Nothobranchius furzeri: one gene and its partners. The protein of the gene in region 6 purifies or fractionates together with the protein of the main gene of each other region. This does not show direct contact. Links are inferred from orthologs where the notes say so. Each region holds a gene or a part of one and is shown on either strand. Other genes may lie near its edges.

Region 1 (3,500 bases), on a different chromosome or scaffold from region 6:
TTAGGAAGTACACATTATAGAACAATTAAAAATACTATTTTTGATTTTCTGCCACACAAGCCAATACCACGTCTGAAGCATTAAACAAGAGTCACCAGACAAGCTGAGACACGGCTTCCTAAAGACAGTTGGTTGTATCAGTCCCGGGCTTTATTTGAGGAGCGTTGTTTGAGTAAAACCAGACATTCCTGTTGGAACTGCTGCCCTCGTGAAGCATCTGAGCGCAGCGACCAGCCTCAACATGCACAGCTCCCTGATCCAAGCACACACCTCAATAGCTCAGTGCAATATAACGTATATGTAATGTAGGTTTCTGTTTCAGATATAGAAAATAACCAACATTTGCAAGTATATTTATTGTGAAAAACACCTCAAATGTAAAAAAAGATTTTTAAAAAAGCTTTTGAATCAAAAACATGCAAAACACGGAAGCTGTACAAAAGTACTTGTACTACACACTTCTCAAATTCAATTAATCAACTTCACAAAACACATTTTGGCACAAATACACGGAATGTTTCATAAGACTGCTTGTAAAAAAGCTTTTTCCCCATACACACACCATTTTTTTATCTGACACCACAGCTGCATTCCTGTTTATAATCAATAGCAAACCTCTACAAAGGCTGTGAAAATTCATTTTTGTGGTCCTCAAACAAAAAAGTAAATAAAAAAAACATGTAAACCTTCAACATATAAACAAGAGCTGCTAAAGATCAGAGGAACAAAGAAGGCTGTATAAAAACAGCTTCTCATAAATCACCACAGGCATGACGTATTTCCTGATTTGATGTTTTTATGTATTAAAAATATGACCTGAAAGTGTTTTAAGGGTTTATCTTAAAACTTACATAAAATATAGATTCAAACACTCTTCAAGGACATTTCAATAGGCATGTAGTACAACTACATATATATGGGATAAACTGATTAAGGATATTTTTTAGACATCAGGCACTGTCAACATTTAAATGTTACAACTTTTAGAAAATCACACAAAACATCAGCGTGGGAAAGCAGAATCCTTTACAGGACCAGTGTTCAAACAGTTTTCAGCATTTTGTACCGCGAGTAAAAAAAAAAAAGAATAAAAAAGACAAAAAAGTAAAAATGATTTGAAAAGGCTCCAAATGAAAAACCATCCAAGGCAAACACGTTACAAAAGGACACATAAATCATCACTTTGGTCCCATTAGTAAATAAGTATGGCTTAAGCTGCGATCATGGCTGTCTCTATTCCAGTTAAACAAAAGCAAACGCAGGCAAACTCCTCTGGAATCTGGCCTTTAGGTCAGTCGGATCCCCAAAACTTGCTCCAGCTCCTGCCTTCTCTGCTGCACCTGAAACGGAGAAGGAGTACCTCTGGTTCAGATACAGATGACTAAAATGTGCTGTTCTGAGCTCTGGGATCTGTCTTCACTTACTTTGGAGTAAACGTATCTGCCCACTGCTTCTGGGACCCAGGGCGCCTCGTAGAACTCGGTCCTCCTCTCCTCCTCTGGGTTTCCGCTCACGTCTGTCATCAGCTGATTCAACAGAAATGCAACAGTGAACACAACAACACCAACAAGATGCCCCAAACATGCCTTTCATTTTCTTATCTACAACTGCATCTTGCTGAGATGTTGCTTAAGGCTCAGGAGGTTTGTAAAGCTACAGGAACACAGAACAAAGCTGTGGCTTCTGAACGAACCATGAACCATGTCAGGTGAGGGAGGACAGCTTTGACTTCTTAAACAAATTTAAAAAAAACAAGGTGGGGTGAAATCTGTGTTGACAGGAACCCAGACATGTAGATCCTTCTGATCTGATCATTTCTAACTGCTGGCTGGAACATTTATCTTTAGACGTGTTTCGGCTCGCTTTAGGAGATCAACCCTCCACCACCTGCAGCAGAATGCTTCCTGATTAGCTCTCTGAGCACATGCCGGCAACAAGGTGCATCCGTTTACTGGCTAAATATGTTAGAATGAGTTCTGTGCTATTGTGTCACATTATATAATGTAAACAAACGTAAGAATGCTGTAATCCCCATAATGAATATCACCTTAAGCAACATTTAATGATGAGTAAACACTGCAGATTCCAGTGGGACAGATTTGAACTCTTATGGCGAAGGAGTAAAAAAACAAACCCAATAAAACCTGACTTCCAGGTTAAGGAGAATGTTCAGAAAACTAAAATATTTTTGCCGTCTAAGCCGTAAAGGAAATCTAAACGAGTCAAGATCTAAACACTTGATTTAATCAGATAAAAAAAAACATAGGAACTTCATTTTACCCTGTCTCTGCTATTTAACTCAACTTCATTTCATTTTATTTAGTTTGTCCTGAAATGAGGGACTAAAATAAGACAAAAGAGTCACGATAACATGGTAGTTGCAGCAGACATTTCTTTACCTTCAGATCTCTGCTCTGAGACTTCAGCCAGTCTTTGATGAACTCTTGTGGATTATTGCTGAAGCTCAGCATGAAGTCTCTCTCAGTCTTGAGCTGGTTGATGTACTCAATTGTTTCATGAATCTGAACATAAACAACAAAGGAAGACGTTTCAGGTTTCTACAGGCTCGTTTCATTTTAGTATGAATCCAGATTAGACCCGACCTTCATCTCAAGAGTAGCGATTTCCTGTTGGTTGGTGGTGGAGGACAGAAAACTGTTCATCTGAGCTTTCAGAGGGTCGTCCACCTCCACGTCAATATCATAGCAGGCTGTTTTCTTCTGGTCTGTGGGATCCACGCTGCTCAGGGAACAAAGGAGTTGGTGGTGACTACAGGACGGGTTTATACCTTATCTCAGCTCAGAACCAAATAGAAAGTGTTTCTAAGGTTCTACGTACATCTGTGTTTATTAACTGTAGGAGCAGCTATGAACCTTATTCACCAAGTGTGGTGACACTGTGTGTCTGAAAGCAGAGATTGTCTGAAGCTGTAAGATGAGACCCTACCTGATGATGTGGTTGATAATAATAGGGTCAGGATGCTGCAGCAGGCCCGCCAGCTTCATGGGGATCTCACTGAACCTCATGCGTGGACAGCTGAAGATCTGAACACAATTTTATTAAACCGCATTAGCACTTAAGACAGGTGATGTTAAAAAACACTGATAACTAATCCATCAGAGTTCATATCCAGCCCTCTAAAGCTAAGACCAGGACTACATGAGTCCTGTTTCCATTTTAGGAGTTTAGGGGACGGGGAGAGCAGCTGTGTGAAGTAAAAAGTGCCGTTCAATGACCAGAAGAAGCTGTTTTTGACAAAGCAGTGTGGATAATGGCGTTGTGGGGGATTTCCACTGCATTATATGCGTTGAACCTTCAGAAACTGCAATTTCAAAGCAGCATTAATGCTGTTTGCTTTCTTTCACTTCCACTCATCTTCACCAACAACTCTTCCCATTTTTGAAAAGGCCAGTTATTTGGCGAATACAACCAATCAGCGTGAGTTAAAAACAAGCCCGCTCAGCGGCTCTACCAGCCGAGTACCTACCCCAGCTCAGGTA
Region 2 (4,048 bases), on a different chromosome or scaffold from region 6:
CTAGCGCCATCGACTCGTTAGCCCAGAATTCGTTTGATGAGTGGGGAGTCCAAACAGGCGCGAGCTGAACTCCGGCGTACCGCAGTTTGACAGCAAAAATAGCGCTGTTTTTAAAACCACAAGCAAGGACATGAACTTGTTCCGCTGTCTAGTGTCAATTCCTCAAAATGGGGTCTGCTAACGTACGTCTCCGCCATTTTGTGACAGGTTTTTCATTGAGCAAAGGGGTACGTGTAATGGTTGAATGTAACCCCATCAAGAAGATATCCGCTCGGCAGTTACAGCAGAAAGGGACCAGGGGGAATTTCAGATAAAAGTCCTGTAGACGCGGCCACAGCTAGGGACACCAGCTGCTTCCCACATCCGCTTACCCATGCAGCAACAGATTGTACGAATATAAATTAAAAAATAATCATATTTACGTATAACACAAAATAGTATGGTCAGTTTATGTAATTACAAAAGCAGTACAATTAATGTGTAACTTACAAGCATGTTATTACATAATCAGTGTGTGTAGATGTTTTAAGCTTTGCCACTTAACAAAAATATTAAAGTTCAAACAAGTTATACAGGATAAAATATGTTAGGCACATAATATATGACTTCATACAACACAATAATTAATATGCAACTCATCTTTTGCAGTCAAAAGTTCGCAAAGTAAGTTTCTTTCATTCGTTTTTAAGTATATATTAAAATAAAAAAAATCTATAAAAAATATTGAGCACCATTATGACACGTGCATCACTATCCTACTGATACTGCTGAAATAATAATTTGACACCGATGTTTGACACGCACTTTTATATTTAAAACAATTAGGTAGCTACTATTATGCGCTTAATTGGAATATTACGAAGCTGGGTTAATTTGTTTTTCCCCTCCCCCCACGGGACATTTCCAAGAACCCTTTGACCCGTTTTCTAGGCAGCGGGCATGAATTGTCAGACGATCCCTAAAACAGAAAACTGTCTATTGTTCCAGCAGTCGCTCTACCTTGGAGGGTGCAGTACCGCCGGTGGACACGGAGGGCGCTGCACGCATGGCAGGCCGGGCTCCGCGGCCTTCACATCTTTTTGTCTGAGAACTGGATCCCTCTGCCGCTCTACAGTGTGTGCGATAGCCTCGGAGCTGCGTCCGTACCACACTGTCAAACCACTCCAAACGAACACAGCCGCGACCAAAAGCATTAATTCAACACCTTCAGCCATGGCGTTTCTAATCCACCGGTAAATCGGTCGTATTTGTGACCGCTCGTTGGAACTTAGTCCGTGCTTGTATCGGGTTTGCTTTCTGTGTGCATCAGTCTTTATTAGCGAGCTGCCGCTCTCTTTGCTATCAGCTATTTCTTTAACTTTTTAAACACTCAGCTTGGCGAATGACTGCGCGCCGGCGGAGTATGGGATCCTTGGTGTCTTAGGAAGCAACTGAAGTGGGATTTTACCGTTTTTGCATGCAAAAACAATGGCAAATTCGACGGGGAAAAATCTACTAGATCAGCGAAGGAAAGGACAGGCTTTCCTGGACGAGCTGCGGCAATTTCACCAAAGCAGAGGGTGAGATTGGGGTGCCTTTATTTCCAAGAAATACAACTTTAACTACAAATTGCAATGAAGGCGCGAGTTCCCAAAAGTGTAATTTAAACATGTGTGGCTTTATTTCATGTGTTATTTCAACAGATCGCCGTTCAAAAAGATTCCTATCGTGGGTGGGAAAGAGCTGGATCTGAATGCACTCTACATCAGAGTCGTCTCTTTAGGTGGATTTGCTAAGGTGAGTGGGAACCAAAAGTGTCATTTCTCCACTTTGCCGTCCGTGGACTTCTCACCGGACTACTCCACAACTCTGAGCGGTTAACCCGGGACAAGTCTCACCCTCCAGAAAGCCGTTCCAGTGGCTCGGCGTTGGCCTTGTGCTAGTTTACCATGTATCTCTATGCAATGTGGTGGCTTGTGTTGTTGTGTGGTATGAATTGAAGAGTCCAAAGCGCTCGGAGTCAGAGTGCAGTTGGAGCGACTCAAAATTAGCGGGCACGTTTACCATCGATTATCGGCACGGAGCCCGGCTTCGGGGAGCACCGCGTTGAACGCGGCGCGCTGCCCGGGCTTTCGCCAGCAGTTTTAACCCGGAGGGAAGCTTAATTTCTCGCCATAGCCATCTTTCTTCGGCTTCATGGCTGGCCACAGAATGTAGGCCTCACAGGCCCATGTAACGAACACAGTAAACGGGTACATACACTGACTCCACAACCCAACGGCTCGCCGCGAGCGCTTTCTGCCCCGGCAGTTTGTTGTAGTTTGCCTCGCGCGGTTTAAACGCTCAATTAGCAAGTAATCAAGTTAGCTTGTTAGCTGTGTAGCTAACTAGCCTAAACTGTAACAAAACCGTTCTAAATAGTTATTTTAAATGCTAATAACAAATACCCGCTATTACATAACAATATAGAGACTATTTTAAACATAACTTCTAAAGGTTATGCTGGCTTTATCTATTTTGGGTCATTTCCTGCAGTTTGAGAAAGTTATTGATAAGAGGTTGTGACACTGTCTCAATGGAGAACCTGTAGCAGAGGGAGCAGCTAGCTGCCTTCACTGTAACCGTTCTTTGTGTTGTTGTTACCGGTGTTTGCTAACCAGCAGACCCTTTTATCATCCTCTCCTCAGGTCTCTGATAAAAACCAGTGGGCTGAACTTGGAGAGGAGTTTAACTTTCCCAGGAGTTGTTCCAACGCAGCATTCGCTTTAAAACAGTACTACCTGCGGTAAGTTGCATGCAACTCTCTCCTCTCAGGTAGCATGTGGGAAGTGTTTACAAATGCTAAGATGCAGTCAGCTGGATGCAGCCTCGCTGCTTCCCTCTGCTTGGAAGCTGCACTTGTGGAATATTGCAGAGGAGGTTTGAGTACTACTTAATCCACCAGAGAAGCAAACACTCGGGCTGAGTTGTCTTTTTAAACAAAGCTTTTGAAAACATTGGTTTTAGGGCGTTTTGACACTTTTAGCCCGGGGGCTCTTGTTGATGCCATGTTGAATGGTTCTGGATGCTCTTACTTGTATCACATGCACACTTCGAAGTCAGTCAGCTGCATTGAGCAGAGTCTGTTTTACCCCCCCCCCCCCCTTTCCAACAGCTGGCATTTGTGGTTTGTAGTGTTTTTTCCATCACTGTAGTGTTCCCATCACTAGCACCTGCCCTGCAGAGGTTGCACCTGTGCAGCAGAGAAATGCTTGTAGACATTTAGAGACAAGTGGTGATAGAAGAGGCCAGCATTGTTTCTTTATATATTGTCAGTGAGCGGTGACAGGATGAAGCTAATTTTATGACTAACTGTAAGGCAGCTGATGAGACTTGGAGCTCATCGGAAGTTCAGACAGCTCTGATGGATCTATAGAGCAGAGTTTCGTAAACTTTTCAGCTTCTGACACAAAATTACAGCAGCTGAGACTCGTCACCACAGCCACCAACGGTTAAAAAAAAGTGTAAACTCTACAGTGACATAAGGACAACACAAACTGTCCACTATTTTACTATCTCTGGCCAATTTATGACAACTTTTTATAGAACAGTTGTGGCAAAATATCCATTATAGTAATTTTGTGGGTTGTGGAGATCAAAAAGACCCACATTGAGGTCCTGGCCCTAACTTTAGAAACCACTGGGTCAGAAGGGGAGGACTGGTTTGAAGTATTTCAAAAAACAAACTGGCTACACTGCTGATGGGAATCCAGAAATATTAGGTATTAAGTTTATAATCTATAGCTCCTGCAACCTGCAGCTAGTCTGAAATCTGCTTGTATTTTTAACCAGAAATGACAAGACCCTGAGTGAAGTTCATATTTGAACGGATCTTAATTTTACATGAAAGTCATTGTTTTGTCAATAAAATTACACAAACACCACAAATAGGTAATACTGTTCTTGTATCAGTAGGTAGCTTTATTTATAGCACTTTTCAGGCCCTGTTGGGTGTTTATGTTGCAGCATTTATCAGATATCAATCATTGAGTCTGCCCTGGTTACTTCTTAACATCATTTCAGTAAAGTA
Region 3 (3,142 bases), on a different chromosome or scaffold from region 6:
TGCATTCATCCCAAAATTTAGAGACACTTAGAAAAAAATGTCATGTTACCTAAATAACCCAGATAACTCGTCTTTTACTGAATTGCTATTTTCATTATTACACCCCCCCTGGTTTGTTTATTCCTCATCTTAGACTGCCATCTAGCGGTATTGTTTAAAAACGTAATATTTGGCTTTTAACACGTTTGTAATTCTTCCTGCTGACATTGAACATTATCATTTAGTGACTGTTTTGAGCGTTGTTGCTCATTTCAATGGAATTTATACAAAATGAATTTATGCTGCCATAAATTCTTCTTCACTGTTTTGCTGGCAGAATTATGAAATTCCAGCTATGAGTACTTCAGTAGTATAACCACATAAATCTATAAATAAGAACATATTGTGAAACGACTTAAAAAGTTTATTTAAAATGAGTTTGTGGATGCAAATGTAAGGTGTTATGTAGGAGTCTAGGATAAAATCTTAGTTTTGCATAAAAACACCCAGCAGCAAAATGGTATAATTTTGTAGTTTTATTGATGGTAATTTTATCACTCATCCAGTAATAATCATGGCTTTAAAATAAACTGACGTCCCTATCATCCAAAGTCGCCCGCCTCCATTTAAACATGCGATAGAAAAATATATACTTAATACTTTGTACAATACTGGTTTTGGTCCAAACAAAAGTGGATCAGAAAAGCCAATATACCTTTACCTAAAGGTTCTCCAATTTGCATTTAAGCTCCTTTTAAATGGATTTGGGCAACTTTGAATATAGGAATTTACATAATAAATTCTAAAGACAAAAAAGCTGAATGCAGAGTTTGTAACACAAAAAAATCTCAACTTCACAGATTAAAAAAAATATCACTATTTACAAGTTTTTTATAATATTCAAAGGCCAATTAAGAGAAAAAGGAGAGCTTGTGAGGAATAAAGGGAGAGAATAAGGAATCGGGAAGAGGAAGGGGGGACCGAGAGAGACGAGAGTGCACAAAAAGCGGAGTTGCGGAGCGAACCAGAGAAAAATCAAACATCTAACGAGGATTTTTGAAGCTACACATTTACAAAGTCCTAAAGGGGTCAAACGAGGGCGTTGCGCCTCCGGCCCGGTCCGTCCTCCGCTGTGCATTAATGCAGCTTCCCAGCTCCCGAACCCTGCCCCTCCTGCCTTCCTCCCCTGGTTTTGTTTCAACATTCATTTGCTTCCTCGCCAGCGGCGGCGCCACCAGGCGATAACTCAGTCGTTTTAAGTTTTCTAACACACCGACACGCATCCTCAGCATGTACAAAGAAGCCAAACACACCTCAAGTCTGTACATAAGAGGAAAGAAAAGACACGCACTCTGCATTCAGACAAGCTCGTCTCTGTACAAACGGCACACGGCACCAACACGTCCGGTGCTTCCTGTGGAGGCTTCAGCAGGAACAACTGAACATTTACCACACAGCTCTCCTAATCTGATCACACACTCCAATTATTAAGCTTACACTCAAACTTTATTTTCTTTTTTTAAACTGCAGTTTTTTACTCTTTTTGTACTTTTATTACAAAAAAAAAAGTCATGCCTAAAGTCTAGCAGACATTTTGCCGGCGTGTAAAACAAAGATATGACTGTTTTGCTTGTTTTCTGTTTGGGAGTGGGGTCTTTGCTTGACTGTCGTCCTCTAAGTCCGTGTAGTAGTTTAGTCAAGTAAAGTCCAGAGGTCTCACACATTATTAACTCTCACTAACACATGAAAATCTTTGAACAAGCCAAAACTGCCCTGGATCAGCTCTGCTTGCCAAACAGTAGTGAAATTTGTCCAGCTGAGACCTGTGAGAACTACAACAGTCTGCGTTGTGGTGAGTTGGGGGGGTCTAGTTTAGTCGTACTCATGCCTAGTCTGGTCAAGGCCATGCAGGTCTACTTTCTGCGCCTCACTGCGGTCTTGATCTTGCGTCCAGCCGCCGGAGAAGCGGCGAAGGATTTAGTTGATCTGGAAGAGCAGATTCAGGATCAGTTAAAAAGCACAAATCGAGAGGATTCTGACATCCGGTAACAAGCTGGTGACATTAACCTACCCCATGTTAAAGGCTGGAGTTTGTGAAAAGTTGAAGCCACCAGCAGCTGCTCCCGGCTGGGGAACGATGGAGGAATTGGTGGAGGGGGCAGGGGCGGCTGCGGCTCCGGCTCCAAAAGTAAACACACCTGAGTTGGTGTTGGTTGTTGCTCCAAATCCACCCGCTCCTCCAAACTGAAAGCCCCCACCTGATGAAGATTCAAACAAAACACTCAAACAACCAGTAAATCACTACCAGTACAGATTAAAAGAGTTTACTTACTTGACGTGGAGTTAGCAGCGGCCCCGAAAACAGGCGTGGAGTTGGTCTGTTGTCCAAAAACGGGAGCAGCGTTGGCTCCAAAGGCCGGAGTTTGGGAAGGCGTGGCTGTGAAAGGGGATCCAAAAGAAGATCCAAATGCTGGTTGGGTGGTTGCAAATCCAGCAGGAGGGTCTGAACTGAATACAAACGGGGCAGGAGCTGCAGAAGGAGCTGAAAGTAAACAAAAATATAAGTTAAACGTTAAAATAAAGTAAAGATTTAGAAATTATAAAACTTTAATCCACAGAAAGCTGAGCAGACCTGATGAAGAGGCAGCAGAGGGCGCTGTTGCTCCAAAGCAAAAGTTGGGAGCAGCAGGATTAGCAGGAGCGCCAAATATGAAGGGTTGAGACTGCGCAGGGGCGGAGTTCAGAGGAGCGCTCGACGGAGCCGAGGACTGGCTGTCCTGACTCTGTCCAAAAACAAATGCCTTAGTGGGAGGAGCGTCACTGGTGGTCACCGGCGGCTGGCCGAAGACGAAGGTGCTGGGCGCCGATGAGGAGGATGGAGCCTGCGTGGAGCCGCCAGCAGTGGTGGGGGCGGAGCCAAACAAACTAGAAGTGGGTGTGGAGGTGGCGGAGTTGGTGGTGTTGATCTCGATGTTCTTAGCCATGAAGGAAAACACTGGTTTTGGGGCAGCAGCAGGATCTGTTCAGGGGAAAAAAACGCGTCACTTTTAGTAAACACACAACAAATCCCCGCTGAAGCTAAACATTTACAGAAGAAGCACCTGCAGCACTTTGTCCAAAGGTGAACGTAGGCTTTGGGGTCTCTGAAGCGGACGTCTCGCTC
Region 4 (4,152 bases), on a different chromosome or scaffold from region 6:
AATCCCCCTCCGTCAGCCTGCATCTGATTGCTAGAGACAAACAAGACTGTAAGACTAAGAAGGTCTATTTGTTTCTGTTGGAGGAGTTGTTTGTGAAAAGTACCCAGTCCATACTGGAGGTACGGAGTGAAAGTCTGCTTCAACTTGGTAGAACAAATCAGAATAATTCAGTCAGACCTTCTGGTCTCCCACTTAAGAGTTTTGCAGCTCCACCTGCAGGATGTTTGTTTTCACTCCACTGACATATTGGAATGAAAGAAGGCAAGGCAAAAGGAATTTCTTATGGATGTTCTTTAAGTGAAAATGATTACAGCACAATAAACAATGCCAAACCTCATATAATTATCATTTCCAAAGACTGGTTCCAGTTTGTGTGTACATGTGTGCACACAGATCTGTCTCCTAATTAAAGTGTTTAGTGCATCAAGAAAAATATCCACAGCCTGCTGAGCAGCTGAAATTTTGAACAGACCTACAAAGAACACATCTTGCTATTCTATTATGTGTGCTGCAATCATCAAACTCTCTGTTTATTTATACTTTTGTACTGGAACTGAATTATTTTATATAGACACCAACTTGACATTTGGCATTGATAATAAATGGCAAGTTTAAAAATGTAAAATTTCCAACAAAAAATAAAAAATAAAAAAATAAAAAAATAAAACAACGTTAGTTAATTATGAGGAAGACTGATAAAACGAGGAAAAATGCCCATTTGTTTTTAACATACTTAAATTTTACATTTATTTTCACTGCAGAACAGTTTTGCCACACTGTGTGTTTTAAATTAATTAACGTATAGCATAAAGACAGCCAATTCTTACAGAAAATATATTTAGCTAATATTTCATTCAGGGTTAAATGCTGCATTTTTGTTGGACTGCTCTAACATAAATGCATTATCTTTTAAAAGGTTACTTAATCTTTATTGTGAATAAGAGTAATTTGGAAATGTGTTTCTTCTGCCTTCATTTGTTTTTAAAAAATGTATTAAAGTTTACTTATCTTCAATTTTGCCCTTTAAATAAAATAACTATATAATATTGCAAATAATTTTTAATTCCTTTGTTTTAACCATGCTTTCTTCTGTTAAATAGACAAAAATGTACAACCGTCCACATTTTTTATTGATATTTGCTTTCTTTGCCCTGTTTTAATTTCTTCTGTTTTTAATATTATAACTTATGGGTACTTCTAGTGCATGTATTCATACGCCTCCTACTTTTTGGTAAATTATATTTTCTACGTTTATGATGTTCGCTTATTTTTGGCCAGTTTTGTTTGAATAAGTTTTATTACTAACCATGGACACATATACGGGTTCTAACCTTTTATTTGTGTTTCGCCACGTGTCGCAGACATTTGACGACAGTGGAAGCGGAAGTTTATCAAAGCGCATGCGTGCTGTCAACAGAGATCATTGTGAGTAGATTATCATATTAGAAAAGAAAATTCTTAACAGTTTACATGATTTTATCAACAAATAGTTTGTATTTTGCTCTCATCTGATAGTTTACATCCAGGCAGTGGTTCTTCCTGCTTCCGGTGAATCTCTGACGGGTGTTTTATTGGATCTACGAAGGTAAGCGTTAGCATGCTAACCAGTTAGCGGGAGGTTTATTTATTCCCGTAACTTTATCTGAAGGTCAGCTTTGCCTTTACCCGAAATTACTGAATGAAAAACTGTCTGACTAGACTAGGGGGTTAAACAAGAAAGAAACTTGATCATAATTATTATTTAGCTAGCTTGCTTGGGAAGCAAGACCACATTTCCCTCCATACATGTTCAGCTGTAGTTTATTACATCAATTTGTTTTCAAACAACCAAGCTTTCAATTTATTTTAAATGCTTGTCATGTTTTAAATAACGTTACAAGTTGGACTTTAAAATAGTTTTGCTCCAGCAAGGTGATCTTTTATTCATAAATCAATAGAAGAGTGGTGCGTTTTCAGGTCTTTTGTAGGTCTTTAAATCATGTAATCAAAGCTGTGATTATTTAAACAACTTTCCTTTTTTTCTGTTTCCAGTCAGCCTGGTTGTGCTTTGTCCTCCTCTCATTCCAGACTACAGAAATGGAGAAGGTAGGAGAGAAACAGGGAGAAGAGGACGGAGCAGCTCCAGCAGGAGGAGGAAGTGAGCTGGGGCAGAAGTCAGGCACGAAAAGGGTGCCAGAGAGAGGTGATGATGAGGAGGAGACACCACCCACCAAGAAACCAGTAGGCATATCAATAATTATAATGAAATAAAAAAGTGTGTCCCATGCTTGAACACATTATTGATGTGTTATTGATCCTCTAGGTGACTGATCACAGCGTGAAGGTTGCGAGTCACTACAACAAACTGCAGGAAGTTGGTCTGGAGGTCCGAAGTCAAAGCAGGATCTTCTACATGAGGAACTTTAACAACTGGGTGAAGAGTGTTCTTATTGGTAACTGATCACTAATTAATACTATTTGTTAATCCAACAATAATCCCTCTCATGTTTTCACCCGATACGATCAATCTGTCAATCGTCAACCAGCCTTCTGATGCTGCTGTGACCTTTTTCTTTCCATAAACTCATTTTTAGTTGCGTTAAGTTGAACATCTGTTAAAATCTGTTCATTGATTATCAGGTGAGATGCTGGAGCGGGTCCGAGGAGCGGGAAGCAGGAACGTGTCGGTGTTGGACCTCGGCTGTGGGAAAGGAGGAGACCTGCTGAAGTGGAGGAGAGGAGGAATAAATCGTCTTGTTTGTGCAGGTGGTTAAAAAAATCACCCTTATTCTTTGTCAGGAAATAAGTTCAACTCCATTCCTAGAAACTTTGTGTAGCCTTGCTTTCTTTAATGTTTTGCGTCTGTGTTGTTTCCAGATATAGCCGCAGTGTCAGTGGAGCAGTGCCAGAGTCGCTACGAAGACATGAAGCGGAAAAGTTACAATAACGAGAAAATCTTTAGTGCTCAATTCATCACCGCAGACTGCTCCACGGTAACTCACTTGTGTTGGTTCTGTGATTAGAAAGAGGCTGAAACAAAGCTGGTGTTTCAGAACGGTGTGAATAATAATAAAATCGTTTTGTGGTGCAGGAGGTTTTGTCAGAGAAGCTGGATGACCCCCAGCTGATGTTCGACATCTGCAGCTGCCAGTTTGTGTATCACTACTCGTTTGAGAGCGAGCAGAAGGCAGACATGATGCTGAGGAACGCCTGCGAGCGTCTGAAGCCTGGGGGCTTTTTTATCGGAACAACGCCAGATGCATACGAGCTTGTGTAGGAACAAGGATTATATTTACACTTCCGTAAAAATAACCATTTAATCTTTATAGAGAACATATTCTAATTATTGCTTTTTGTGTTTTCAGGAAACGTCTGGAGGCGTCTGACTCGCTGACCTTTGGTAACGAGATCTTCAAAGTTTCCTTCCAGTCCAAAGGTTCCTACCCGCTGTTCGGATGTCAGTATCACTTCAACCTCGAGGGCGTGGTCGATGTGCCGGAGTTTCTTGTCTACTTTCCTGTTTTGGAACAGTAAGATTTGGTTTTTATTGCGAGCTTTTTAACAATAACAGAGTTCTTGATGGAATAATTAGCTGCAGGAAGTAAAAAGCACCTGTGTTTGTGTGTCAGCATGGCGAAGCGCTACAACATGCGTCTGGTTCTGAAACAGAGGTTTTCAGAGTTCTGTGAGGAGAAAGTGAAAAAGGAGCAACACCGCAACCTCATGATGAAGATGATGGCTCTGGAGGTAAAAACTGAAGCTTTAGGCCTAGTCCACACGTAGCCGGGTTTTATTAAAAACGAATAACCGCCCCTCCAAAAACTTGCATCCACACCACCTTGTTTTAAAAATAAACTCTGTCCACACGTACCCGGATAAATACGTTGTTAAGGACATGCCAGACCTGTAGGCGGCAGTACTTCCCCCGTTCTTAACCTCGTCGTTCGTCTGTGGTCTTCCGCAAGGAGCAGTAATTCCGCTTGCAAAAACAAACAAGCAAAAAGCGCTTGTACAAGTGATGAAGCGAGCGCAGCTCTGAGGGCATCCATGCTGTCGGCTAGTGTAAACACAGGTCGCACACGTGATGTCAGCATTTTTTGTCGCGGAAAGTGACGTTGCGGACCTTAAAACTCCGGTTTTGTCTGTCCACACGCAGACACCCAAAACGGAGAA
Region 5 (4,229 bases), on a different chromosome or scaffold from region 6:
GTCGATGTCCTGTTCGGATACTTCTGTTCCCATGGAGATCTCAGCAGCTAGCTTCACCTCAGCCTCGATCTCCTCAGGGAGGATTTCTGACAGATCGGTGCTGGACACGTTTGTACGATCACCTGGGGCGGACAAGACGACCGTCCAATCAGTAAGACACTTCATAGTAAAAAGGTAAATAATTGCCCTTCCTTTATGGGTTTTGATAATTAAAACAAAAGCTGTCGTCTCTTTTTCACATCAGCCCAGGTGTTACTTAAACAACGAACCTTACCGACTTTGAGGACGGTTTTGCAGTAAGCTAGGTTGTCCGTGACGACCTTCCCCAGCTCGGGGAAGTGCCAGCCGTACCACTCTCTGCAGCGCATGATGTAGTTATTAAGCTCCTTGTCCAGGTCGTCCAGGAGGGCTGAGGACAAAAACACCCAAGCTCCGGTTATTGTGGACAAAGACAGCCAGGATCACAGAAAAGGACACCAGGGACACAAACTGGGCTTTCCTCAATTTTTCAAGATGTCTGAACCCACACGGCCCGGCGATGCTGCTACTAGCTTCTTCTGTGGGGTCACTGGAGGTGAGGTTCAGCCTAACCAAGTATCCAGGAACTTCTGATTTAAGCTTTTATCACGTCAGTTTAGTTTCCTCTTATAATATTTATAAGATCAATAACCATTATTATCAAGGGTGCTCTGACATTATGTTAAATCCTGACAAAAGACTAAATTTCTTCATAAATATTTATATATTAATCATCTGACTAACTTAAATCTTTCTATTTAAAATAAATGAACATTCGGCTGAACTGACAGTTTGATATTTCTTAAATTCAGATTTTTTATAGAATGGCTGAAATATTACTAATCCACCTCACAGGGGAGAACATTCAATCAAATCCTAAAAAAAAGAAATTTCTGAAATAAAATAGTTACTTTCTACAGGTTTCTGTAGATTTAGCCCGCTAATGTCTAACCCTAACCAGCTAATGCTGCATTCAGGGGTCATTATCACTAATATTGTATGAAAACAACACGATGCTTCATCAGCGAAACACTCACAAATGGCCTGAACGATCATCGTGTCCACTTTGTCCGGGCTGAACTTCAGCTTGTAGCGGGACAAACTGCAACAGGAGAGGGTGTTAGCTGATAAACAACAGACCAGGCGATAAACAGGAGCACAGGGGCAGCCTCAGTGGTAGTGACGAATGCTGATGGGAACATCTACATGAGGATCTCAGACAGCAATGTGTAATCACAGGCAGCAGCAGCAGCTGTAGTATAACCCCGGGGTGACCCTGACCTGTGAGCCAAGCCCAGAGACATGGCGCTCATCTCTCTGGGAGGAAGTCCAGAGATCAGACTCTCCATCTGGCTCCTGATGCATCTCATCAGCTCGGCTACTGCGGGGCTGTAGACGCAGTTCAGGTCCAGCTTGTCCTAAGAACACAAACTTGATCAGAAAATCTTTAACAGACAGATCTTCTGACGTCTGCAGAAGGATGAAACTCACTTTAATAACTCCACCCAGTTTAGCATCGCTGATGGCTAGCTCCTCATGAGCCTCCTTGGCCACGACTTTCTTCAGGATCTTCTTCAAACTTTTGCTGATTTTTCCCTCAACCAGAGCGGTGGCAGCTTCACAGCAGAGGTCAGAAACAACTGATTAAACCTAGATAAGCACACTTTAATAATCCCTGCTCCTATCCTGGACATCTTCTCTTATCTACTGGCTGAAGGGACAGGGTGGTCTCAGTGGTAGTGACGATTGCTGTGGATAACCTCATGCTTTTATCAGACACTGAAATCCATCACAGACCACCAACATAGACACAACAGAGTGTTTTTACCTGCCAGTGCCTCCGTCGTGTCCTGAAACTTCTCAAAGTGTTTCAGTTTCACACTGATGGAGGAAAAACAGATGTAAGCCCCCAGAGTGAGGTGTTGAGCTGAGGGTACTGAGACGTGTTCATACTCACATTTTGTTGGCTTTTTCAGGAGTCTCAAACTCCTTGTACAGGCTGTCCACCTGCTGCAGCTTTGATTCATTTAGGACCTAAAAACAAATAAACTTGAGCAACCAGACAATAAAAGCGTCTGTATGCTGGAAGCTAGGGAACTTGTGCATGGCAAGTGTTGCACCGAGCCAAACTGTCTTTTATAGACTTGAACGAAAAAAACAGCCACATGGGCAACATTGCTCTTGATACTTTGCTAGCACAAACACACAAACACACTTTAAGTGCATTTAGAAGGAACGACTCTACAATAACCTGACCGGATTAATTATCCTTTTATTGAGCGAGTGTACTACATTCTCTGTTGTGTTTGAGATCAAACTCAGCCAGCTTCCAGGAGCGCACGTGGTCACAGGCCCCTAACAGCATGCTAACTCATGTTAGCATTTGAGTTTAGAAACGAAGACGTGCACGTGAGATAGGAAAGCACACGGTGCCATATTCAAGCCCACACAGACACGTTTAGAGCTCGGTTGTTTTATTTCCCCTAATAACACCAACTTGTTACTTAAGGGCAAATTTATGTGTGACATTAGGATGCTAATCGAGGCTAACTACAGACATACGAGCGAAATATCGTACTTCAATCGGTAAACTGACAGAATGAAACACTCACTTTGAATATCGCATATCCAGCGGCGGTTTCAAATAGAACGAGCATGTTTGAAACTGCTCTGTTTTATTAAAGTGCTCTCTTTTCAGAGAGCTGACAGTTTTCGTCTCGGTCAGTCACCGCGATGGTGAGGCTCGGAAACCGCACGCGGTGCAGAGGAGCTGCTGCAGGGGGAAACTTCCGGGTTGCCAGATCCGTTAATTTGAACCAAAATCACCCAAACGTCAGTATTTCCTTTGTGTTTTAGCTAACTCTAAAAACAATAAATGTATTTTAAAACGCCATACACAGTAACTATAATAAATTTATGCAACTGTGTTGTTTTGTGTGTTCTTGAAAGCTTTTAACAAAGTAAATGTAATTCAATTCCATCTTTTTATTCCACCACCTTTATTTTATGATCGCATAGCAAAATAGTAAAACCACGTATTGTATTTTTTACTTATTATTTTTAAATTATCGTTATGTTCATTTTGTTAAAAAGTAAAAAGTTTATACATTTTAATTAAATGTCACAAACTGGATTTGATTTGGCAACGCCAGAGATGCGCGCAAACAAATCTCGCGAGAGGTTATGAGCACGGTATGTTGCTTTCACAGTAAAACTTAACGCCAAACTAACTGTTTACGCACTTTTAAACGATATTATTATTAATGATTCCATCATTAAAGTGACTGATCAATAAAACAGATAATATAATTAAACAATACGTGATGTTACTTAAAGAACAAAATGTAATAAAAGGAGAATTACAAACAAGTAGAGAATAAAAGAGAACAAACTCCCGTAATATAAGAATGACATTTTATGTAGCTAATTTTAAAGCACATAGGCGACTCCAGATGTGTGAAGATTTGTTTTAAAATATTTTTGTAGGAAATCTAATTTTCAGTTGTAATCCGGATAACTTGTAAATCCCAGTTCTGAGAAATTGAAAAGGAAATTCCGATCATCCAAAACGCAACACACTTTTTTCACGGAAGTGACGAACGCGTGAACTCTGGCAAAACACGAGCGCGTGGACTAATACCTTGAGCTAACTTTTACCGTTTTCTGGCTGGTAACGTTGAGTAAGGCACCGGAGCTGGAGCTATGAACGAACCAGAACGCTACCCTCCACCAGACTTCAGCTGTCCCCCTCCAAGCTCGTTCCACACGCCCCAGGAGCAGCAGCAACCTCGGGCCAGCAGCTTCCACCCCAGCATGTGGAGCTGGGGAGAGACGCCGTCCGAGCCCAGCTGGAGCTACTGGGTCAGTCCGAACTGGAGTCACGGACAGGCGGGAGGGTACCACGGTCAGACCCATCCACACTGTGAGACCTTTGGTGATTATGTTTCTAAAAGAGGACACCTCTCTCAATGTTTGTGTTTGGAATGCTTGATTATGGAAATCAATCAAAACCACAATTATTGTATAGTGAACTCCAGATGATCTAACATGATTGTGTGTTGGGAAATACTAGAGATCACATCTAAAAGAGACTGCAGACGGATTTGAGTTTATGATGACTAATTATGAGACCAGAATTACCCACAGTAGACTCTACATTGCAGTGGCCTGTTAGGCTCAATGAAATACAAAACCTACAACATGGGTATTAT
Region 6 (3,966 bases):
GACTCCTTTGGGCTGCTCAGGAGGTAAAGTAGGGACTGCAGAGCTGAACAGTTCAGGATCACCTGAAAGGATAAATAAAAATCAGATTCAAATCAGAACATTCATGTTTATTTAACAGTTTGTGTTGATGATGTCATTACTTGTGTCTGCAGATCATCGCCAGTGACGATGTTCCCAACAGCCCGCAGAGCTGGAGACACCACTTTATAATCAGAGTGCCTAAAGGGAAGGAGATGTGTGGATCATATGAAAGAATCTGGGACTGGACACACGCTTCTACAACACGCTGCAGAATAAAAAAGTTTCAATTCTTACATCAACAACTCCACTAGCCTCCGACAGACTCCTGAGTCAATAACAGCCTGGATTTTGTCATTAGGCCCATCAGATAGGTAGGACAGTGCCCAGCATGCATCAGCCAAGATGTCTGTGTCGTTAACAAACAGCAGCCAGGACAGCACACAGAGACATGGGGACACCTGGACGGGGCAAGGAGGAGAACATGAGGAGATTTAAGAGGAAATTTGCTTTTGGATTCAATTAGAAGACCATCCTGCCTGTGACCTTGAAATGTGCTCTGATGTGCAGTTGCCATAGCGATAGTATATCTTGGCAAATTACCTTAGCAAAGTCTGGGGGTGGGTTCTTTCCTCTACACAGGTTTGAGAGCGCCCACACGGCGTTCCTCATCATCGTTAGGCGATTCTGTTTGGCCAATAACCTAAAAGCGGGATTTAACAAAGCAAAAATTCCTAAAGATGCTGTTTTTTCCATTTTTATTTTCTAAAATTATACAAAGAGATCAATGACGTACTGCAGCAGGGAAGGCAGGATGTTGCAGTTGATGACAAAGTTTCTGCATTCTGTGCTGTCACCTGCTATGTTACCCAATGCCCACACTGCCTGAGGAGTGAAACAACTATTCATTTTAGACAACAAGCACTACATGAATGTATGATTTTGTATAACAAGAACATCACAGGCCAGTTCTTGCATGTTTTTGTTAAAAAAAAGTTAACAGATATAAGGTTGTTGATGCAGAAATAAGCCTGAAAACTCGACCAACCTGTTCCTGAACGTCTTCAAAATCTGAGCTCAGCATCTCTATGAAGATGGGCACAGCTCCAGCCTGGATCACAACCCGCGTCTGGTGGGATGTCCCTGAAGCAATGTTGGTCAGCACCCAAGCTGCCTCAAACTACAAAGATAATTACAAAAAAGGCTTAAATGTATTAAACCATGAGCAGAATTAGAGACACCATACAAGGCAGAGAGAGGATGCGGTCCAACACGAGGAGGAAATTTTATTTAACTTTGGGAAATAAACCTGCAATGTGCAATTTTCTCTCCTCTTCAGAAACTCAACAAAACACTCGACCACCCCCGGAGTGGCAATAACTTCGTCGATGGGTGGGTTGGGTTCTGCGCAAGAAAAACATTTGTAGGAATGTAACCACTAAATGTTTCAACTCAGGTAGTAAATCATGATGTTTTGAAACAGGGTGCATGGTTTAAAATGCACACATTTAAAAAAAGGAAAAAAAAAGCCAACCTTTTGAAAGAAGCTTCCTAAAGCGCTGAGTGCCTATCAACTGCTGCTCCGGAGAGCTGGAGAAGATCATCTGAATCATGTCATCAGAGATCACCCCACCCTGTGAGGTGACAAAATAAGAATTTATTTGACATGTGATTTTAAACGGTAGTAAAATAAATATATAAATAAAAAGAGTTGATTGCAGAAAAAGAAGGAATATTTTCCCACCATTAGTGGGTCCAGGTTGTTAGCCTGAGATTCCAGATAGCCACTATCAGCCATTCCATCATCCTCAAGGGTGCCCTCATCCTCCACAGTGGCAACATTCCTCCTTTTAAAAAGCTATAAAAGAACAAGATGCTTATTTGGTTGCAAATTCTGACATTTTATTCATTTACGGTCACATTAACCATTGACTTACTTGTTCATCCTTCTTCTGTTTCCTAAGTTGCAGGCCTTCCTCTTCCCTCCTCCTCCTCATCTCATCTGTGTTAAGAGACTTGTTTTTGTAGCTCTTGAGTCGTGCATTGTCCTTACTTTGACTCATAGTGATGCCTGAGAGCACAGAAATACCTATGATCGACACAGACTTGACTAGGATTAGGAGCCATTGTTTTAGCATAGCTGGATCAGAGCAGATCCTAATCTTGGTTTTAGCCTCCTTCATGAATTAAACGTCGCCCAGTATCCTCTGACAGTCATAGCAAAAGGTTGGGTGGATCACACTGCTACTTCAGCAGTCTCTTTCACAGTCAATGAGTAGATCATTCCTCTAAACAAACATTGCTTCAGCTAAAGTATTAAGAGACCTTGCTAGCAGGTTAGCATTCTCTGAATTTACTGCGTGGGCTGCAGGAAACCAAACATGTCAATTTTGGTGAAGAAAACCTGTCGAAGTCAACTGACACTACTAAAAACACAAGGTAGTACTACAGCAACGTACAGACAGGGTCAGGCTGCTTATATCACAGCGGGTATTAGCCTCCTACTCAACTCCGTAAGCTAGTGGCTAGCTGGATGTTAGCTTAGGTCGAGACCAAGCTTAGCACTGCGGACAGTCTGGCGTTTCCCAGATGTCTCTGGCAAAAATGGTAAAACATCTTGTCAATGTAAAGGCTTTCTAAACATAATAAATAAAAAAGTGTAAATGTTTTACTTATTTTACCTATCGGGTTGTGCTCGTAATCCCCTTGTTCGTTAGGCCACCGTTTGTACAGCCGTCACCGGTAAATAACTACGCATGCGCCTCGAGGCACGTACGAGGAGTCCTCGTACGCTTCTGTGGCCACGCCCACACGAGGCTTTTGTTTTGTAAATATGACGCTTCCATTGATTAAAAGGGTGAAAACGTCTTCAAAAGTGAAAGTGTAGGTCAAAAGTTGAACGTGTTAAGGTTCAGAAGCCAAAAGAGTCATCCCACTCACAATTAGGGGTTGACAGATTTGTTTTAACTTCAAAGAGCGATGCGTTCTGTCAGTTTTACTGAACATTTTTCAAACGGTGCAGGTGTTTATTTTGAAGTGTTTTAGATGAGACACTGAGGCGCCAAGGATCATTAAGGGGTTAACGGTGGGTCGGCAAGGTAGCCACACATGCACATAAACACACAGGAACACACACATGCACACACACTGATCACAGTGTATGCAAGACATTTTCACCATCACTTATTATTGTTGTTTTCATGTTTTGCTTTTGTGATTTGTCCTTAAACTACATTTACAAACTTAGGCAACACATGCAATTACAAAATCTAAATATTAACATCTAAATGTGTCACAGGCGCAAATATCGAAAAGCGTGCACCAGAGCAAAACAGGTGCACCTTTTTAAAGTTTGGAAAAAGATAAAATATGCGTTCATTTATAATTTTTAATAATCAAATTTTTGCACAAGTATTCAAAAATAAAGATCATAAACATCTTAATCCACGGACTACTCTGTAGTAAAGTCATTGTTTATATTTTGTTGATTGGGGCTTCAGGAAATAACAATAACAACATTCCACAGATTGTAGTAGGCCTACATTGTGAAAAATATTTACCTTTGCACGTGTTTTAACATTTTTTTTACCTAAATAAATGCAACTGCCCTTAAGTGTTCAAACAAAGCCATTACCCTGCACAACCCAAACACCTGCAAGACATCAACATTGTTGCAATTTAAAACGACTTACTGGCGCCTATAAATATGCAACGATGCTCTCTAACGCAAACCATTGCACATTTTTGTTCCATAAAGATGCAAGGTGGGGTGGACGTCCAGAGCTCGTTCCTGCACGGTGGCGACTGCTTCGACATGTGGCATGATTACATGAACCTGAGCAGCCTTCTGGAGAAGCGCGACCAGAGGGAGGTGGCTCCAGAGGAGCCCGAGAAGGACCCCCATTGGCGACACCTCCAGACCCCATCCAGGCGCAGGACTTCCAGCAT
Region 7 (2,882 bases), on a different chromosome or scaffold from region 6:
ATCAGACTGTTTAGAAAAGTAATACGTGTCCCACAGCTGATCCGCTTGTTTTCATGTATAATTTGTGGGGGTGCGTGCCGTCCTTGGAGCCACGTTAACGTTCGACGAATAAAGAGATCAAATCCTCTGGTGAACTATAAGGGACCTGCTCGCAGCAGGAGAAGGTCCGTTAATAATAGTCGAGGTGGTGAAGGTAAAAACTTTATTGCTCATAACTTACAGCCTGGTAGGGGTAGTCTACTGACACTTTACATTGTTTATTAAAAATAGTCCCCCATTTTCCAGGAAAACAAGGTGGAGTAATTATGAACTCAAAAACAGTAAATCAGCTAAATAATGGTGCTTAGGATATAAAGCACTGAGAACCATTTAAGCTTTAATAACTGGTTGTTTTAAAGCACATTTATTCAGTGAAAAGAAATATTTCCCTTTAGCAGTCATTTAGGTGTTTCTGGTCTGGTAATCATCTATGTACAGCTGTGGAGGAAAGTTCCACCGTCTAAAAACCAAAAACGGCAACAATTAAGAGGCAAATCTATCCTTTAGCTTAAAACCATTCAAATGCTTCACATTTGTGTATTTTGTACAACATTAAACCACGTTTCCTGTTTGTATTTGTAAAAACCTGATCATTTCTTGGAGTAAGTATAGACGGACCAACCTTTTTCATTATTTCTTACACACCTGCTGCTGAGGCTGCTTTCCTACTCCCAACAGCACATTACTGAGTTATGGCTTTTGCACAAGTCAAGAAAACACTCAAAAAGAAGAGACTTCTTTAAATATGCAGCAATGGTGCAAAAAAACATAATACAGAACAAGTTTAGGCCGCACAAAACCTGAAATTAGATGTACAATTATCCGATCTATGAAAGATTAGTAGAAATGTGCTTTTAGCGCTAGGTAAAGACCTAAGACAGTATAGAGGCTTAAAATATAGATAATAAAACCATAAAAGGCTTCAGCTTCCTTTTATGATCGTACAGGAGGGAAAAAAGCTGTGCTAATGTGTTTTGTTACGAAAGGAGTCCCTGCATGAGAGGATGAGACGGGTCTTGGTCCCACTGTTGCTGGTAGAAGCTTCAGGGTCAGAAGGGATCCTCATCTTAGTCTCTGATATTTGGCACCAAGCTTCACAGGTAAAGCTCCAGCTGTTGGTTTAGTTCCCAGGTTCAGCCATCCTCCTGTAGAACAGCAGGTAAGGTGTGGAGGAGGAGCACGTCTCGGGGGAGCAGGCTCGCAGGAAATCCTCTTCCTCGAACAAACGCACCTCGGAGTCATCAAACAGCAGCCATTTCCCCTCGTACTCCAGAAGATGGTTCAAAGCTTGCTGCTCTGTCGCCTTCATCCCCGTAGAGGTCTCCTCAGTCGTCTCAGACTCCTTTTGAAGTCCGTCGGTGTTCTGCCTGGAGCCGTTTATGGTCTTTTGCCGTTTTGAACCTTCGGATGCTCTACGACTGGCTGCTTTTTCTGTGTGTTTGCCGTTTTCCAGCTCATAACCAGACAAACTCCTCTGTCCTCCCAAGAGTCCAACACCAGCTTCCGACAGCTTTTTGCTCGCTGCTTTAGCGCTAGCCAAACCCGAACGCCTCTGTCCTCTAGCATTTAGACTGACGGACACCTCTCCATCGTCGTAGTTTAGCTTGTCCTCCTTCTGTGCTCCCTTTTTCCTTTCTCTCTCATCTGTTTCCACCTCTGGTTCTTTTTTGTCCTGCAGCCAGAGCTTTACATCTTTCAGGTCGGACATGCGGACATAAGTAGTGTAGTGGCCACAGCTAATGGTGATGCCGCTGTGCATGACCACGGCAAACAGCTGATACCGCTGCCCTCTGGCAGATGACGTTTTTGTGCACCACTCCTCCAGAGACAGAGTCAGCGGCGTCTGCAGGGGGGTGTTGACTTTAGAGAGGCCAGCATACGGGTCCAACCTGCAGCCAAACAGAAAAAAATCTAAATCACCGATCTGACTAGTCTTTGCAGTGATTTACATCATTTTAGTGCGATGACGACCCAGAGAGCAAAGCTCTGCTCAAACTCCACACAGGTCTGACCAGCTGGGTCTGCTGAGCACTCACTCTAAGCTGCTGGCAGAGAAGCGCTTCAGGTGGATGGTGATGACTTCAGGTGTTTTGTCAAACAGCAGACTTCTCTCAGCCTCGGTGTAATGGAAGCACGTCTCACAAAAGTATTTGTCCTCCCCGACGATGCGCTCCACTGAGGCGAACTGAGCCATGGCCCACTTCAGAGTCTTCACCTCCGGTTTGGGGTCCGGAGAGACTGGGGGCGAGAGAGAGATCAGGACAGGAGTTTTTTCTGAAGTGGACTGATTAAGAACAACTTTCAACATATTACTATTCATTCTAAAAGGCTTGATGATATTTGTTCCTCTGGTATAAAAACAAAAACTCACTCTCTGTGAGATCCTCTGGGCTGCTGGGCTGCTCATCGAGGACGGGGACACTGATGTCCTGAAAGTCTTCTCTCCGCTCTGTAAAGCTCTCACACTCCAGACATCGAGTCCTCAGAACCAGGCGACCCTGGAACAACCTCTCCATCAAGCCCAAGACATCTGAGCCACACACACACACACACACACACAAACACCTTATTCACTGTAGAAAAACTGCAAGCCTCTCTCCCTCTCTGAGGAAGTGTTCGAGGCCTACCTTGATGTTCCTTCATGTTCTTCTCTTCATTAGCGTTCTGGGACAACGGCTCTTGGCCCGTTTTATCATCCATCTCGTCTGTCAGCTTTGTTTTCGACTCCGTTTCGTTCTGGTTCTTCACGGTTGTGGAGCTGAGCTTCCCGACGCTGCAGAACTTGGAGAAAATACTTGGCTGTTTTCCCGACGGTCTCAGCCAGCTCAGCTTGGCCCTCTTTT

The links.
Region 1: the proteins of kpna1 (region 6) and smarcd2 purify together in Homo sapiens (affinity purification with mass spectrometry; 3 studies listed by BioGRID and IntAct, with this or other methods). This does not show direct contact. The link is inferred for Nothobranchius furzeri from reciprocal best matches to the Homo sapiens genes KPNA1 and SMARCD2.
Region 2: the proteins of kpna1 (region 6) and arid2 purify together in Homo sapiens (co-immunoprecipitation; 3 studies listed by BioGRID and IntAct, with this or other methods). This does not show direct contact. The link is inferred for Nothobranchius furzeri from reciprocal best matches to the Homo sapiens genes KPNA1 and ARID2.
Region 3: the proteins of kpna1 (region 6) and nup153 purify together in Homo sapiens (affinity purification with mass spectrometry; 3 studies listed by BioGRID and IntAct, with this or other methods). This does not show direct contact. The link is inferred for Nothobranchius furzeri from reciprocal best matches to the Homo sapiens genes KPNA1 and NUP153.
Region 4: the proteins of kpna1 (region 6) and rnmt purify together in Homo sapiens (co-immunoprecipitation; 4 studies listed by BioGRID and IntAct, counting the BioPlex papers as one, with this or other methods). This does not show direct contact. The link is inferred for Nothobranchius furzeri from reciprocal best matches to the Homo sapiens genes KPNA1 and RNMT.
Region 5: the proteins of kpna1 (region 6) and nop58 purify together in Homo sapiens (affinity purification with mass spectrometry; 3 studies listed by BioGRID and IntAct, with this or other methods). This does not show direct contact. The link is inferred for Nothobranchius furzeri from reciprocal best matches to the Homo sapiens genes KPNA1 and NOP58.
Region 7: the proteins of kpna1 (region 6) and usp1 purify together in Homo sapiens (co-immunoprecipitation; 6 studies listed by BioGRID and IntAct, with this or other methods). This does not show direct contact. The link is inferred for Nothobranchius furzeri from reciprocal best matches to the Homo sapiens genes KPNA1 and USP1.

Annotation. Positions count from the first base shown.
Region 1 is NC_091756.1:35,532,469-35,535,968, reverse strand, and holds the end of smarcd2 (SWI/SNF-related matrix-associated actin-dependent regulator of chromatin subfamily D member 2), read right to left. Parts: intron 3,045-3,500; coding exon 2,947-3,044; intron 2,740-2,946; coding exon 2,604-2,739; intron 2,523-2,603; coding exon 2,400-2,522; intron 1,527-2,399; coding exon 1,425-1,526; intron 1,341-1,424; coding exon 1,287-1,340; 3' UTR 284-1,286; downstream 1-283. UniProt on the Homo sapiens protein: Involved in transcriptional activation and repression of select genes by chromatin remodeling (alteration of DNA-nucleosome topology).
Region 2 is NC_091741.1:59,776,360-59,780,407, reverse strand, and holds the start of arid2 (AT-rich interactive domain-containing protein 2), read left to right. Parts: upstream 1-1,248; 5' UTR 1,249-1,467; coding exon 1,468-1,559; intron 1,560-1,682; coding exon 1,683-1,776; intron 1,777-2,666; coding exon 2,667-2,764; intron 2,765-4,048. UniProt on the Homo sapiens protein: Involved in transcriptional activation and repression of select genes by chromatin remodeling (alteration of DNA-nucleosome topology). Required for the stability of the SWI/SNF chromatin remodeling complex SWI/SNF-B (PBAF).
Region 3 is NC_091759.1:87,644-90,785, forward strand, and holds the end of nup153 (nuclear pore complex protein Nup153), read right to left. Parts: coding exon 3,081-3,142; intron 2,999-3,080; coding exon 2,612-2,998; intron 2,522-2,611; coding exon 2,312-2,521; intron 2,238-2,311; coding exon 2,051-2,237; intron 1,966-2,050; coding exon 1,893-1,965; 3' UTR 1,704-1,892; coding exon of another isoform or gene 1,555-1,703; 3' UTR 1,447-1,554; coding exon of another isoform or gene 1,360-1,446; 3' UTR 1,300-1,359; coding exon of another isoform or gene 1,054-1,299; 3' UTR 501-1,053; downstream 1-500. Other genes in the region: cibar1 (CBY1-interacting BAR domain-containing protein 1), read right to left, coding at 1,054-1,299, 1,360-1,446, 1,555-1,703. UniProt on the Homo sapiens protein: Component of the nuclear pore complex (NPC), a complex required for the trafficking across the nuclear envelope. Functions as a scaffolding element in the nuclear phase of the NPC essential for normal nucleocytoplasmic transport of proteins and mRNAs.
Region 4 is NC_091759.1:9,236,286-9,240,437, reverse strand, and holds the start of rnmt (mRNA cap guanine-N(7) methyltransferase), read left to right. Parts: upstream 1-1,352; 5' UTR 1,353-1,425; intron 1,426-1,515; 5' UTR 1,516-1,585; intron 1,586-2,031; 5' UTR 2,032-2,076; coding exon 2,077-2,220; intron 2,221-2,302; coding exon 2,303-2,432; intron 2,433-2,619; coding exon 2,620-2,745; intron 2,746-2,856; coding exon 2,857-2,972; intron 2,973-3,070; coding exon 3,071-3,252; intron 3,253-3,344; coding exon 3,345-3,509; intron 3,510-3,608; coding exon 3,609-3,726; intron 3,727-4,152. UniProt on the Homo sapiens protein: Catalytic subunit of the mRNA-capping methyltransferase RNMT:RAMAC complex that methylates the N7 position of the added guanosine to the 5'-cap structure of mRNAs. Binds RNA containing 5'-terminal GpppC.
Region 5 is NC_091742.1:74,286,167-74,290,395, forward strand, and holds the start of nop58 (nucleolar protein 58), read right to left. Parts: upstream 2,801-4,229; 5' UTR 2,676-2,800; coding exon 2,631-2,675; intron 2,053-2,630; coding exon 1,976-2,052; intron 1,900-1,975; coding exon 1,847-1,899; intron 1,635-1,846; coding exon 1,510-1,634; intron 1,437-1,509; coding exon 1,300-1,436; intron 1,121-1,299; coding exon 1,056-1,120; intron 410-1,055; coding exon 275-409; intron 123-274; coding exon 1-122. Other genes in the region: FMR1-interacting protein NUFIP1, read left to right, coding at 3,721-3,952. UniProt on the Homo sapiens protein: Required for the biogenesis of box C/D snoRNAs such as U3, U8 and U14 snoRNAs. Part of the small subunit (SSU) processome, first precursor of the small eukaryotic ribosomal subunit.
Region 6 is NC_091747.1:50,442,850-50,446,815, reverse strand, and holds the start of kpna1 (importin subunit alpha-5), read right to left. Parts: upstream 2,801-3,966; 5' UTR 2,700-2,800; intron 2,458-2,699; exon of another isoform or gene 2,317-2,457; intron 2,090-2,316; 5' UTR 2,082-2,089; coding exon 1,956-2,081; intron 1,877-1,955; coding exon 1,763-1,876; intron 1,653-1,762; coding exon 1,553-1,652; intron 1,423-1,552; coding exon 1,328-1,422; intron 1,199-1,327; coding exon 1,067-1,198; intron 904-1,066; coding exon 815-903; intron 722-814; coding exon 622-721; intron 480-621; coding exon 316-479; intron 220-315; coding exon 141-219; intron 63-140; coding exon 1-62. Other genes in the region: nanos homolog 1, read left to right, coding at 3,776-3,966. UniProt on the Homo sapiens protein: Functions in nuclear protein import as an adapter protein for nuclear receptor KPNB1. Binds specifically and directly to substrates containing either a simple or bipartite NLS motif.
Region 7 is NC_091748.1:69,495,408-69,498,289, forward strand, and holds the end of usp1 (ubiquitin carboxyl-terminal hydrolase 1), read right to left. Parts: coding exon 2,667-2,882; intron 2,570-2,666; coding exon 2,411-2,569; intron 2,278-2,410; coding exon 2,076-2,277; intron 1,929-2,075; coding exon 1,160-1,928; 3' UTR 501-1,159; downstream 1-500. UniProt on the Homo sapiens protein: Negative regulator of DNA damage repair which specifically deubiquitinates monoubiquitinated FANCD2. Also involved in PCNA-mediated translesion synthesis (TLS) by deubiquitinating monoubiquitinated PCNA.